Linked DNA regions of Notamacropus eugenii. Each later gene encodes a partner of the first gene's protein in a complex. Links are inferred from orthologs where the notes say so. Each region holds a gene or a part of one and is shown in the gene's direction. Other genes may lie near its edges.

What was found. Proteins that work in one complex are often made in the same cells at the same time.
Region 2: RBM15B (region 1) and METTL3 share a complex: the UniProt entries of both Homo sapiens proteins name them as parts of the WMM complex. The link is inferred for Notamacropus eugenii from reciprocal best matches to the Homo sapiens genes RBM15B and METTL3.

What each region holds. Positions count from the first base shown.
Region 1 is NC_092872.1:3,418,213-3,425,919, reverse strand, and holds the start of RBM15B (putative RNA-binding protein 15B), read left to right. Parts: upstream 1-4,678; 5' UTR 4,679-4,713; coding exon of another isoform or gene 4,714-4,722; coding exon 4,723-7,518; 3' UTR 7,519-7,707. Other genes in the region: uncharacterized protein, read right to left, coding at 3,512-3,764, 4,151-4,678, 4,714-4,724. UniProt on the Homo sapiens protein: RNA-binding protein that acts as a key regulator of N6-methyladenosine (m6A) methylation of RNAs, thereby regulating different processes, such as alternative splicing of mRNAs and X chromosome inactivation mediated by Xist RNA.
Region 2 is NC_092878.1:12,405,438-12,413,449, forward strand, and holds the start of METTL3 (N(6)-adenosine-methyltransferase catalytic subunit METTL3), read left to right. Parts: upstream 1-4,949; 5' UTR 4,950-5,103; coding exon 5,104-5,203; intron 5,204-8,012. UniProt on the Homo sapiens protein: The METTL3-METTL14 heterodimer forms a N6-methyltransferase complex that methylates adenosine residues at the N(6) position of some RNAs and regulates various processes such as the circadian clock, differentiation of embryonic and hematopoietic stem cells, cortical neurogenesis, response to DNA damage, differentiation of T-cells and primary miRNA processing.

The sequences.
Region 1 (7,707 bases):
GGCCTATGAGGAAGTTGGAGTATTGGGGCTGGGGGCAGCTTTATTAGGATTCCATCGATACCTTCATGTCTTTTCCTTCATCTTGGACTCTGTTGTAAAGATCTCATGTTCTTCCAAATCTGACTTTCCAATCCCATCCTTTCTCAACTGTTTTGGAGAGAAGGTCTCATCTGCCCCCATCTTGGTCTTTTGTCTTTTTTTTAGAGTTCTAAGTGATAATCCGTCACCCTGGAGAGCCTGAGATTTCCATCCTGATTTCTTGTTTTGATGTTGTTTTTTAATTATTTTGGTGTTCCTCTTTTAAGCCATTCTGTTGGGGTTTTTTTTTAATCTTTTCATCAGGGAATTTTAGTTGCTTTCTATTCTGGGGAAGCTAGACAAGTACAACAGTATTGGGGAAAGGCAGTGTCCTAGTTTTCAAAAAATGAAAGAGAATGTAGTCTGCAGACCACAGGCCAGTAAGTTTGACTTTAGTCCCTGGAAAAATTCTAGAACAAATTGCTAAATATTGCCATTAGAATAATTTTAAATGCTTGGTGAACATCCAGAAATGGAAGTAGGGATCACAAAGAAACAACATGGTTTCCTCAATAACAGGTCATGCCAAACTAGCCCCCTTTCTTTTTTTGATGGGAGTTTACCAGACTGGTTAATTGGGGTAAATATAGGGTAATATATAACAAAAAGATTTCAACAAAACTTTGGCCAAAAATCTTTCAAGTGATTCTTATGGACAAAACAGAAATATGTGCTAGATGATACTGCAGTTGGAATTACTAATATTTTTATGTAAACTTGGGAGGAAATCTTTAGTGGAGTGACCCCAGAGATCTGTGCTTGGCCATTGAACTTAACCACTAATTTGCCATGATCAAATTTGCTGAGAGCCAGGAAGCAGACAACGAGCATACTCTGATCTGCAGGGTGAATTCTTTCCCTGCCTGCAAGTTTCTTGATGTCCAGAATCATTTTGCCCTTTCACTCTGTATGTAAAGCCACATACTCCATGGGAGCATTAGAGACTAAAAATCTGACCTGGGAATTTTTTTTTGCCTTGTGAGTCCAATATGAGGCAGTATTGGAAATGATCCCCTTCTTCTCTGATAATAATATAGCACAAAAAAAGTGAGATTTAAAGAGTCCCATAGGAGTTTTAGGACTTGCATAAGCCAGGTTCTAAAACATGTGTCACTGACTCCTCTTCTGACAGTGACAGCTCACATTAGAGGATTGATGGCCTAAGCAGAATACACAGTTGGGGTGTCCAGCCATGTATCCCCCCAATTCTTGAAAACCCAAGGTTTGTTGGACTCGACCTCATCTTCAAAGCTATATCCCATCATCAGGACTGGTGACCCATAGCAGTAGGAGTCATTTAGTAAGGCCCTGAGCTGTAGAAGTCAGAAGCCATCAGGTACAGCATTGATGGCCACAACGATGGGTCCCACAGTAGACACAACATCTTGGAGGGTTCTCTCAGCACTTGAAGGAAATTTAAGTAGCTAAGCCAGCATTGTTGGCAACAGATAATTCTGCCTTGTACTTAGATTCTTTTCTTGGCCATGTACAAGCAGGAGTCTTCAGAATCAATGCCCCCCCTTCTCTTTGACATACTGAGAAACCCCCATTATAAACCCATGTTCCCCTGCTTCCAACTGCAGGCCCCCAGCCCCTCTTGCTCACTCACAGGTAAGAAGATGGTGGGATGTAGTCATGTCCTCTCCAGTTTGCTGCTTTGAAAACCTCCACAAAGTTGGATATGGATATTACAGTTGGGGTTTTCTTTCTAGATGATTTGTAGCCCTGAATCTTTTCCATGAATTCTTCCTTGGTCGTGTCAGCCAAACTGGTTCATGGCCAGTGTGTAAGTGGGTTAGTCCATGCTGTCTTCCATGCTGTCCGCTTCATTTTCTCTCCTGAAGGAGACGATGCCAAGATTTCCACACCTTCCAGTGAATGTCCCTCTGGATAAAATGAGGGGCTCCCAGGGTCAACCCCAGACAGTGCAGCCACTAAGAGAGAAAACTCCATTACTGATGCTGTTAACAAAAAGCCTGGAAGGGAAGTGTTTTTTCTTCTTTACGTTACTGATATTTGTTCCTATTTCTACTGCTTCAAAGAGTGACTCGTTTCCTAGGGGAAGTTTGTGACCCTTGTGACAAAGTGAATCATCTTTGCTTTCCATTCCATGTTCTCCCAGTGATTGGGAGCTTAGGTTGAGAAAGGCTTTGGAGACAAATTGGTTGTTCCGCCTTGAGTACTAGCTTCTAACTGGCTTGAATCGAGCCATTAAAAGACATCTCTGGGCTATTACTAGCTTTGGTAACACTTCCTACTGTATATGCAGGTGCTGCAAGGGACGGGAAGTGATGACAAAGTTACAAAGACCATCTCTGCAACTTACCTTTTGCAATATACCTTTCCTACTATAGCATATAGACAACTTTTTAATAAAGTGCACAAAAAGTGTCCCTTTCAAAGGAATCTTGGTATAACCTATGTACAAATGAGACAAATGACAGGTTTGTAGCCTTGTGGTGCAGTGGATAGAGCCCCTGGCCTGGAGTCAGGAAGACTGAATTCAGACTGAGACACCTACTAGCTGTGTAACGTTGGGTAAGTCACTTGAGTCTGTTTACCTCCGTTTCCTCATCTGTAAAACTGAAGGAAATGGCCAAAGTGTCATGAAGAGCTGGACATGATGGGAGCAACTGAACAACAAATATTGTTACCTAAGGATCCTGGCATAAGATTAAAGTATTCATGTTGAAGAGCCACGCATTTGTACGATTCTAAGGCAGGGTCTGAACCTGAAGTTTGCCCTCTGACCTAAGCATGCAGAGGAGAAAGTGAACTGGCAGAATTCTGGTGCTGTAAGATGTTCTGGAGATCGAAGTCAAGCCCCTCATCGTGGGGGGGGGAGGGCCAGAGGGGTGGGAGGCTGTTCTGGGTCTTCATGCTGCCTCTTGTTATCGCTCTTAATAACTCATCTAAAAGGGTGAAAAACCTTACCACTAGAGTCTCCATCAGTTCTCAGGAAACTGTCTCCTCAGGTAGCCCAGCGGATGGGCAGGGGTGGAGCTCATGCCTGCAAGCACCCGTAGCTGTTAGAAATCCTCCGTCAGCTCCTATCCTGTCCTTGAGCCATCCTCAGCGTAACCCAACATTTATATTTCAACACATTTGCCTCTGCCCCTCCGAGGCCACCCTCCCACTCAAAATAAATTTAGGAATTAATCACCATACGCCACGTTGGCAGTACTGGCTCAGAGCGCAAGTTGTGCCAAGCTGTGTGACCTCGGTGGATTCCATTAACGTTTATAACATGTAAGGATGACTTCCGTGACCTCTTAGGTTCAGGCTTTTTATAGACTAGAGAGATGTGAGGGATGAGCTTAGACTGAGCACTCTCCCTCTGGCCTGGCACTCCAACGTTCCTCAAAGCACGAACCCATTCATGATCTCAGGACCTCTACGGTGCCAGCAGAGAAGGGATGACGGGACTGGCACTTCACCTTGTGTTGAGTGAGGGAGGGCTGTGCGGGTCACCAACCTCACTTCTCCCCCAGAGCCACCTGGGTCCAGGGACCAGATACTCATCAGGATGGCTGGAGGTGACCCAGGCGGAGGCAGTTGGGGTAAGTGACTTGCCCATGGGCTCACAGCTAGTGAGCGTCGTGTCTGAGGTGAGCTCTGGCCTCGGGTCCTCCTGCCCCCTGCTGTGGTGCTCTGCCCACCGCACCACCCGGCTGCCCCTAGGATGCCTACAGGCAACAAAAAAAAGTTGAAGGAAGTGGGTGGAAACGCGCCTGCTGCGTGCGGGACAGGCTTCAGCGCCCGCGCCCGTCGGACCGCCCCGGCCCGGCTCCGGCCGTGAGAGCGGGGCCGCAGCGTGCGGGCGGGACCACGGGCCCGGGGCCTCCCCCGCACCTCGCCCCCTCCCCCAAGGGACAGCCGCGGTCCGACCCCGCGGCGTGGCCAGCCCCTCCGCCTCCGGGCACCCCCGGTGCCCCGGCCGGGCCGCGGATCGGGGGGCCCCTCCCCTCCCCCCTCCGGCCGTCCGGACCCCCAAAGATCACGGTGTAAGACCGAGGCAGCGGAGACGGGGTCGGGAAGACTCCGACTGTAGGACCCCGGCACGTCCCCTCACCCTGTCTGCCTCCGCTTCCTCATCTGTACAATGAGCTGGTACCTCTGCCAAGAGAACCCCACGGGCCGCCACACGGCCCGACCACGACCCGTCCGACCACGCTGGTGACGCGCCTGGCCGCCCTCAGCACCGGCGGGGCTCACTCGCGGCCGAGGTGACCGCCGGCGCCCAAGCCGCGCCGGGCCGCTGGGTTCACCCTCGGCCGGCAGGTGGCGCCAAAGCCCGCGCTCCAGTCCAATGCGACGGCGTCCGAGCCCGGGAGGGCGGGGGAAGTGACGTAAGGGCGGGGGGCCGTCCCGTCGGACGTGCGCCAGGCTGCCCCCCGCGCCGGCCGCCGAGCCGCGCGCCTTGATGACGTAGCCGCGCTGTCCCCGTCCCGTCCCCTCCCCTTCCTCCCCCGCCTTTTCGCGGCCGCCGCGCTCAGTCCTTTTGTCCAAGATGGCGGCCCGGGGGGCGCTGCCTCCTCCTCCTGCTCCTGCTCCGGCCCCGGCCCCGCCGCCGCTGCCCCCGCGCCGCTGCCCCGTCGCGCTGTGAGGGAGGGGGCCCGGCCAGGCCCGGCCGGCCTCGGCGCCATGAAGCGGCAGAGCGAGCGCGACTCGAGCCCGGGGGCCCGCGGGGCGTCGTCGTCGTCATCGTCGGCGAAGCGGCCCCGGGAGCGGGAACGGGATCGGGATCGGGAGCGCGGGGAGCGGGAGCGGGAGCGGGGCGAGCGCGGGGAGCGGGAGCGCGGCGAGCGCGAGCGGGAGCGCGGGGAGCCCGACTGCGGCAGCGGCGGCGGGGGTCGGCGGGCCGCGCACAAGAGCTCCAGCTCCGGCTCCGCCTCCGCCTCGGGGCCCGCCAAGCACCAGGCCCCGGCCCGCGCCCGCGACAAGCCCCGCGGCGGCGGCTCCGGCTCCGGCGGCGGCCACCGCGAGGGCCGAGGCTCCGGAGACTCCAACCACCGCGCGGGCGGCGGAGGCCGCTCGGGGGGCGGCGGCGGCCGCGCCAAGGCCGAGCCCGGCTCGGCGTCCGCCTCGTCCCCGGGGGCGTCCCCGCTGCTGCTGCTGCCGCCGCTGCCCGAGCCCCCCGCGCCGGCGCCCGCCCCGCCGCCGCCCGCGCCCGCCCCGCCACCGCCGCCGCCGCCGCCCGAGTACAAGACGCTGCTCATCAGCAGCCTGAGCCCCGCGCTGCCGGCCGAGCACCTGGAGGACCGCCTGTTCCACCAGTTCAAGCGCTTCGGCGAGATCAGCCTGCGCCTGTCGCACACGCCCGAGCTGGGCCGCGTGGCCTACGTGAACTTCCGGCACCCGCAGGACGCCCGCGATGCCCGGCACCACGCCCGCGCCCGCCAGCTGCTGCTCTACGACCGGCCGCTCAAGGTGGAGCCCGTGTACCTGCGAGGCGGCGGCGGCGGGAGCAGCCGGCGCAGCAGCAGCAGCGCGGGGGCCGCCGGCACGCCGCCGCCCGGGCCGCCCGCGCCCGCCGACCCGCTGGGCTACCTGCCCCTGCACGGGGGCTACCAGTACAAGCAGCGCTCGCTGTCCCCCGTGGGCGCGCCCCCGCTGCGGGAGCCCCGGGCCCGGCACGCGGCAGCCGCCGCCGCCTTCGCCCTGGACGCCGCCGCGGCCGCCGCCGCCGTGGGCCTGTCCCGGGACCGGGCCCTGGACTACTACGGGCTGTACGACGACCGGGGCCGGCCCTACGGCTACCCGGCCGTGTGTGAGGAGGACCTGATGCCCGAGGACGACCAGCGGGCCACCCGCAACCTGTTCATCGGCAACCTGGACCACGGCGTGTCCGAGGTGGAGCTGCGCCGGGCCTTCGAGAAGTACGGCATCATCGAGGAGGTGGTGATCAAGAGGCCGGCCCGCGGCCAGGGCGGGGCCTACGCCTTCCTCAAGTTCCAGAACCTGGACATGGCCCACCGGGCCAAGGTGGCCATGTCGGGGCGGGTGGTGGGCCGCAACCCTATCAAGATCGGCTACGGCAAGGCCAACCCCACCACCCGCCTGTGGGTCGGAGGCCTGGGGCCCAACACCTCTCTGGCCGCCCTGGCCCGGGAGTTTGACCGCTTCGGAAGCATTCGGACTATTGACCACGTCAAAGGAGACAGCTTTGCCTACATCCAGTATGAGAGCCTGGATGCGGCCCAGGCTGCCTGCGTCCAAATGAGGGGCTTTCCCTTGGGGGGGCCGGAGAGGAGGCTCAGGGTGGATTTTGCCAAAGCTGAGGAGACCAGATACCCCCAACAGTGCCAGGCGACGCCGCTCCCGGTGCACTATGAATTGCTCCCTGAGGGCTACACCAGGCACCGAAATTTGGAGGCCGACCTGAGGGTCCGAGATAGGACTCCCCCTCACCTTCTCTACTCAGACCGGGACAGGACTTTTGTGGAGGGCGACTGGGCCAGTCCCTCCAAAAGCACCGACCGCAGAAATAGCCTGGAAAGCTACAGCCGTTCTGTGCGCAGCCGCAGTGGGGAGAGATGGGGCAGCGATGGGGACCGGGGCCTGTCGAAGCCCTGGGAAGAAAGGCGAAAGAGGAGGAGCTTGTCCAGTGACCACGGACGGACTGCCCACTCACCTTATGAGGAGAGAGGCAGAACCAAAGTCAGCGGGCTGCCCTCAGACCGAAGCCCCGAGAGGCTCCGGAGAGAAAATCACACGGGTGAGTCGGGGGCAGAGAAGGAGCCCAGCAACTCCCTGCCCAACAACCGGCACGGGGCCGAAGAGAGAGGCCCCGACGCTCACCAGGTGAGAAAGAGAGACAGCGAACGCAATCATCGAACCGAGGTAGAAGCGAAGCCCATGGAAGAGCCAAAACCCGAGACCAAAAAGCTCAAGACTCTGTCTGAGTACGCTCAGACCCTGCAGCTGGGCTGGAACGGGCTTTTGGTGTTGAAAAACAGTTGCTTCCCCACTTGTATGCACATTCTAGAGGGGGACCTGGGAGTAATCAGCGGCCTCCTCAAAGACCATGCTTCAGGGAGCAAGCTGACACAGCTCAAGATTGCCCAAAGACTTCGACTTGACCAGCCCAAACTGGATGAGGTCACTCGGAGAATCAAGCAGGGAAGCCCCAATGGTTATGTGGTGCTTCTGGCCACTCAGGCTTCTCCAGGAGGGCCTGGAGCAGAGGGGACCCACACTGTGGAGCCGGGTTTGCAGCGGAGGCTTCTCAGGAATCTGGTCTCATACTTGAAACAGAAGCAGGCTGCTGGGGTGATCAGCTTGCCAGTGGGAGGGACCAAGGGCAGAGACAACACTGGCATGCTCTATGCCTTCCCTCCCTGTGAATTCTCCCAGCAGTACCTCCAGTCTGCTCTGAGGACATTGGGGAAGTTAGAAGAGGAGCATATGGTGATAGTTATAGTAAGAGACACTGCCTAGCCAAAACCTGGCTTTTCCCAGTCTTGTGTTTTCTTTGTGTCATGAAAACAGTTATTTTTAAAGCCAATTCTGCTCTTGGTTTGGCTTTTCTGCCCAGTTATTATGGTTGGTTTGGTGAAGGCCAAAGCCTCTGCCACCAAAACTCAATTTTTTTTTAATGCCCATTTGAAGGTATTCCCATTTTATTGA
Region 2 (8,012 bases), on another chromosome or scaffold:
CATCATGGCCAGATTTTCTTCTTATCATTCTCCCACTCAAAAATATTCAATTATTTCACATAGCCTACTGAATAAAATCCAGACATCTCAGCCTCTCGTGTAAGGTCCTCCAAAACACCTTTCTTTTTCAAACCCCAATGTACTTTTAAAGCTTTTTCTCCCTTTCCTCCCCCGTGTGAATGCCATGCTTTAGTCAATCAAGAGTACTCAGTTCCCATAGGTAAATCTCTTTTCCATTTCTGTGCCTTTGCCCATGCTTTTTCCCATTCCTAGTATCCACTCGTCTTACATATTAGCCTCCTGGAAGGAAATGCTAGCTCTTTTTCAAGACTCAGCTAAAATGCTGAAACACTAAACCTTCCCCATGTTTTTTTCTGATCACATGAACACTCTTTCCTAAAGTAGTTACTTCATTCCACCAGTATGGTACTTATTGCATATTCAATTTAAATCAATTCTTGAAATATTTATGATGGTTTACTAAATGCCAAAGATCCTGTACTAGGTACTATGGGCAACAGGACAACCAAATAACATTCTTAGCCCTCAAGGAACTTATATTCTACCTAATATCATGTATTGCTCACTGATAGCATGGGGTCTCAGACATAGAAAGCATTTAGTGTTTTATTAAATGAATGAATAAATGTTAAAATAAACACCCCAGCCTAATGTGGAAACTAAAACTCACCAAAGTGGCAACCATAATGCCAGGTTTGTTAGGACCTACTTGATTTAAAGGCAATAATTATTAAGCTTTTTTTGAATTGTGGTGCATCGCTGCTTATTCTGTTAAAGTGATATCTCCAAAGTTCCCAGTGATTCCTCATGTCCTTTTTTTTCAGTTCCTATCCTTTTTGACTTTTCTGGACCTTTGACGCTGTCAAGCACCCTCTTCTCCTTTGCACTGTCTTCTCCCTTCTACCTCTTAGGATGTTCTTCCCAATTTTCATTGAGAAGTTCACTCCCACTAACCCTGAGTGACCCCAAGGTTTTGTCCTGGTTCCTCCTCTCCTCTCCCTATAGTCTATACTATTTTGAATGGTGATCTCATCAGGTCTCATGCATTCAGTTATTATCTTTACGCAGATGATTTTTATATTGAATTATCCGGCACCTCTGTCCTGACCTCCATTTCCTTTGGACATCTTGGATTAGATGTCTCATGGGACGTTTCAGTGTCTAAAAGAGAACTCATTAGTTTCCCCTCAAAACTCTCCCCTCTTCCCAACTTGCCTATTACTGTTAAGGAACCACCATTTTCTCAATAGTGTTACCCGCAACTCTTCACTCATTCCCCCACTCTGTTGTCCAAATCTGCCATTTCTCCCTTTACAAAATGTCTTTTACATTTTATTAAAGCACAGGTCTGACCGTGTTACCTCTCCCTCCTGATAACTCCTGTGGCTCCCTATTACCTCCTGGATCAAACATAAAATGTTTGATATTCAATGCTCCTCACCATGTACCTTCCTAGTCTTCACACTTTACTTCCCTCCAGACTCTCCACGGTGCAGCGACGCTGGCCTCCATCTCAGACCATGTCTCAGGAGCTTGGAATTCTCTCCTCCCACCTTCACACCTCCCTCCTGCCTTCATTCAAGACTCAGCTCAAATCCCACGGATTCAAGCCTTTCCCTTTCCCTTTCCTGGCCCTCTTTCCCCTACTTTTCTGCTGAATTCCCTCTAGAAAAAAAATGTATACACGTACAGGTATGTGTATATACGACAAACATATATCCACATACATACGAGTGTGTACTTTATTTATACGTGTACATAAATAAAACACACGTGTATAAATGTGTGGATAAACACATAAATAAAACACACGTGTATAAACGTGTGGATAAACACACATAAATAAAACACACGTGTATAAACGTGCGGATAAACACATAAATAAAACACACGTGTATAAACGTGCGGATAAAGACACGTAAATAAAACACACGTGTATAAACGTGCGGATAAACACACAAATAAAACACACGTGTATAAACGTGCGGATAAACACATGTAAATAAAACACACATGTATAAACGTGCAGATAAACACACGTAAATAAAACACACGTGTATAAACGTGCAGATAAACACACGTAAATAAAACACACGTGTATAAACGTGCGGATAAACACACGTAAATAAAACACACGTGTATAAACGTGCGGATAAACACACGTAAATAAAACACACGTGTATAAACGTGCAGATAAACACACGTAAATAAAACACACGTGTATAAACGTGCAGATAAACACATGTAAATAAAACACACGTGTATAAACGTGCGGATAAACACATGTAAATAAAACACACGTGTATAAACGTGCGGATAAACACATGTAAATAAAACACACGTGTATAAACGTGCGGATAAACACACAAATAAAACACACGTGTATAAACGTGTGGATAAACACATGTAAATAAAACACACGTGTATAAACGTGCGGATAAACACACAAATAAAACACACGTGTATAAACGTGCGGATAAACACATGTAAATAAAACACACGTGTATAAACGTGTGGATAAACACACGTAAATAAAACACACGTGTATAAACGTGCAGATAAACACACGTAAATAAAACACACGTGTATAAACGTGTGGATAAACACACAAATAAAACACACGTGTATAAACGTGCGGATAAACACATGTAAATAAAACACACGTGTATAAACGTGCGGATAAACACACGTAAATAAAACACACGTGTGTAAACGTGCGGATAAACATGTAAATAAAACACGCGTGTGTAAACGTGCGGATAAACACACGTAAATAAAACACACATGTGTAAACGTGCGGATAAACACATGTAAATAAAACACACGTGTATAAACGTGCGGATAAACACATGTAAATAAAACACACGTGTATAAACGTGCGGATAAACACACGTAAATAAAACACACGTGTATAAATGTGCGGATAAACACACGTAAATAAAACACACGTGTATAAACGTGCAGATAAACACACAAATAAAACACACGTGTATAAACGTGCGGATAAACACACGTAAATAAAACACACGTGTATAAACGTGCGGATAAACACATGTAAATAAAACACACGTGTATAAACGTGCAGATAAACACACGTAAATAAAACACACGTGTATAAATGTGCGGATAAACACACGTAAATAAAACACACGTGTATAAACGTGCGGATAAACACACAAATAAAACACACGTGTATAAACGTGCAGATAAACACATGTAAATAAAACACACGTGTATAAACGTGCGGATAAACACACAAATAAAACACACGTGTATAAACGTGCAGATAAACACATGTAAATAAAACACACGTGTATAAACGTGCAGATAAACACACGTAAATAAAACACACGTGTATAAACGTGCAGATAAACACATGTAAATAAAACACACGTGTATAAACGTGCGGATAAACACATGTAAATAAAACACACGTGTATAAACGTGCGGATAAACACATGTAAATAAAACACACGTGTATAAACGTGCGGATAAACACATGTAAATAAAACACACGTGTATAAACGTGCGGATAAACACATGTAAATAAAACACACGTGTATAAACGTGCAGATAAACACACGTAAATAAAACACACGTGTATAAATGTGCGGATAAACACACGTAAATAAAACACACGTGTATAAACGTGCAGATAAACACACAAATAAAACACACGTGTATAAACGTGCGGATAAACACACGTAAATAAAACACACGTGTATAAACGTGCGGATAAACACATGTAAATAAAACACACGTGTATAAACGTGCGGATAAACACATGTAAATAAAACACACGTGTATAAACGTGCGGATAAACACATGTAAATAAAACACACGTGTATAAACGTGCAGATAAACACACGTAAATAAAACACACGTGTATAAATGTGCGGATAAACACACGTAAATAAAACACACGTGTATAAACGTGCAGATAAACACACAAATAAAACACGCGTGTATAAACGTGCGGATAAACACACGTAAATAAAACACACGTGTATAAACGTGCGGATAAACACATGTAAATAAAACACACATGTATAAACGTGCGGATAAACACACGTAAATAAAACACACGTGTATAAATGTGCGGATAAACACACGTAAATAAAACACACGTGTATAAACGTGCAGATAAACACACAAATAAAACACACGTGTATAAACGTGCAGATAAACACATGTAAATAAAACACACGTGTATAAACGTGCGGATAAACACACAAATAAAACACACGTGTATAAACGTGCAGATAAACACATGTAAATAAAACACACGTGTATAAACGTGCAGATAAACACACGTAAATAAAACACACGTGTATAAACGTGCAGATAAACACATGTAAATAAAACACACGTGTATAAACGTGCGGATAAACACACATAAATAAAACACACGTGTATAAACGTGCGGATAAACACACAAATAAGACACACACTACACAGAATATACACGCGCACTGTCTCCCCAGGGGGCGGGGGCTGCTTCGGGCTTTGTCTGCAGTCCCTGGCACATGCCCCCTGACCTGCTGACCCGCTGACCCGCTGACCCACTTAAACATGGCACGGATTCACGGGGAGGATCAGAGCTCCCAAACGGACGGTGCTGTGCGCACCTCCCAGGCTATGGTGACGTTAGTGCTAACTCAGGGTCCCCGCTCCGGCCTCGGACCCTTTCACCCTCCGGACCGCCTTCCTAACGAGGTGACTAACATGGCCCCTCTTCCGCTAACGTCCAACATGGCCGCCCATGCGGCTGTATCAACATGGCCGCCCTCCTGCCAACTCCCAGCATGGTCGCTTCGGCTTCACGTTGCCAGTACCCGCCGGTGCCGCGGCATTTTACGCCGCCAAAAAGGAAAATGGAGCCTTAGACCCATGATTCCTAGCGTTCCCGCTCGGGCTTCGAGTGAGGGCGGAAGCGGAAATGGCGCCGCCCGCGGCCTCCGGGCTCTTCCTGTTTGGCCCCGGTGTCCATGTGAAGTTTCCCCGCCGCCCTCCCGCTGCGGGCGGCCCTGGCCGGGGAGGAGGCGCAGGGGCGGCCGCAGCTTCGCCGCCCCGGTCCCGAAGATGTCCGACACGTGGAGCTCCATCCAGGCCCACAAGAAGCAGCTGGACTCGCTGCGGGAGCGGCTGCAGCGGCGGCGGAAGCAGGACTCAGGCCACCTCGGTGAGGAGCGGGCGCGGGAGGGCCCGAGCCGGGGGGCAGCCTCGGGGCCGGGCCGGGCGCGTCACGTGAGCAGGTGGCCCGCGGGGGCGGGGGCGGGGGACCCGGAACGGCCCGCTGTGTGTGTGTGTGCATATATGTATATGTACATATGTGTGTATGTGTATGTGTGTGTATATATGTATACATATACGTATACACACATACATATACACACGCACACATACATATATCTACATATATAGACCCGCCTGGCGAAGCGCTGGAGCACCAGAACAGAACCAGGGCCACACGAGCTCAGGTGCTAACATCCTGCCAGACGCTTGCTACCTGGGGGCCCCAGGCAAGTCATTTGACTTCCCCATTGCCTCAGTTTCTTCATCTTAAAAATGTAGAGAACACCCCCAGGAAAGGCAGCGTGACGTAGCCGGAGTCCCCGTATACCTGGGGGTATGTAAACGGAGAGGATTCTGCAATCCTTAAAGTGCTGTACAAATGCTAGCTATTATTCTCTGGTGATATTTTTGCCCTTGCCCTCCCGTAAGTCCCCTGCAGAAGGCCTTCCTCTAAGGCTTTTAGTGCAGCCTGGATACTAATGTAGCACCAAAGCTATCTGTTTGTCCATTTTTTTAACATTTTTAATTTTTTTGTTGATAAATTTTGTTTCATTATATCATACAAATCCACACTCACAGTTTATTCCTTTGTAACGTTTGATCCTTTGTATACTGAAAACAGTATAAAATGTGACGTTTGACTGTGGACTCATAGATTTAGAGTTGGAAAGAACTCAGAGGCACAGAGACTGAGGACAAGAGATGGGAACTGCCTCGCCCAAGATCACGTACAGCTAGTAGGGAGCAGACCTAGTATCCAAACTGAGGTCCCCTGGCTCCAAATGCAATCCTCTCAATCATTTTACTGTAATCGTCCATAAAACTTCACACTAATAGTTTGCTGTTTATTAAAAGAAAGGAAGAATCAATGTTTTTGTCAGTTAGCAAGTATTTTTGAAGAACTTATTACGTGCCAGGCACCTTGCTAAGGGCTGGGGATACAAAGAAGAGGAAAAGTCCTCTGCCCCCAAGCTCAGGTTCTCTTGAGGGAGATAACATGTAAATGATTGTATGAACAAGCTGTGTACTGGATAAACTGGAGATCAGAGGAAAGCACTGGCATTAAAGGGGATTGGAAACGTTTCTCATAGAAGATGGGACTTTAGCTGGGACTTGAAGGAAGCCGGAAGCCAGAGATGTAAATGGAGAGAATTCCAGGCATGATGTAAAAATAGCTATGCATATGCTCTCTGTCCATGGGATGGATATGGGAGAGGGAGAACAAATGGATTTTTTTTTTTAAATAGAAAGTCAGCAGAATGCTACAGATGTGAAATAGTGCCTGAACTTTCAAATAAGGCCACTTAACACATTTTTAGTTTTATTCCACTTTTTCCAAGAGATTTCTCACATAGTGGGAATAATCTGTAAATGTAGGTAATTTGAAGACAGAACACATCAATGCAACTTTAAATTTGAAGGAAAAAGAAAATATAGAGTCGGAGATGGAGTGTCTTGTTGAGGAATGCCAAGGAGGGCAGTGTCACTGAATTGCATGGTCTGTGGAGGGGAGTAAAATGTAAGACTGAAAAGGTAGGGAGGGGTTAGGTTATGGAGGGTTTTAAAAGCCAAACAGAGGATTTTATATTTGATCCTGAAGGTAATAAGGAGTCACTGGAGTTTATTGAATAGATTTAAATTTAATAAGAGAGTTACAACATTATCCACTGTGTCTTGTCTTGAGTTTTGTTTCCTATTTGTTCCCATTCCCATAACGTTGTTGCAGTCGTTGTTTAAGTTCTTCTTTTGCTTTGGCTGTCTTCATTCTGCATCTTTTCATATAGGTCTATTTATCCAGCCCGAACCTTTCTCTTAAACTAAACCCTACATTACCAAGTGTCTGTTGGGCATCTCTGTGGGCATCTCAGACTCAGAATGGCCAGAAGAGAATTTATTATAAATTTTCTAATTAACTGCCCCTCCTTTAAATTTTACTATTTCTGATGAAGAATCATTAAATTCCCAGTTATCCAGGTTTGAAACCTTCCAGAGTCATCTTTGATTCTTTCTTCTTCCTCAATGCCCATCTCCAGTGAGTTGCCACTACCACAACCTCTCATATCAATCCGCTTCTCTGCTACTGGACCTCAGTGACTCAGGAAGAAAAAGTGAGGCCGATGACTGCGCAACTCTTGGGACAAACAACAGTGACCACCATAGTTCAGATCCCCATCACCTTTCATCTAGATTATTACAATAGCTTGCCACTTGGTTTCCTCTATTCTGTCTCTTCATCCTCCACATAGCTACCAAGATGATATATCTCAAACACAGATTGAATCTTATCAGTCCCATACTAAAAAATCCTCAATAAAAATCTTTAATCATTAAAACATAAACTTCCCAGCCAAGCATTTAAAGCCTTCTACAGTATAGCTCCTCTCTCCTTTTCCAGGCTTATTTCCTGTTGCTTCTCTGCACGTACTCTTCGTTCCCATCAAACTAACTTACAAATTGTTCTTTGTATGTGAGAAACTATATTTCAACACCTTGCCTTTGTATGGTTGGTCCCCTATGAGTATTTCCTCCTTATCTCTGCCTTAAAAAGACCTCAGCTTTATTCAGAACACAGCTCAAGTGCTATCTCCTATCTGAGGTCTTTTCTGATCCAACCCCCTCTTGAAATTACTCTGTTGATATCTTCTGTTTACCTATCGTGTGCATATTTTATCCCCAAACTAAGCCAGTTTTTTCTT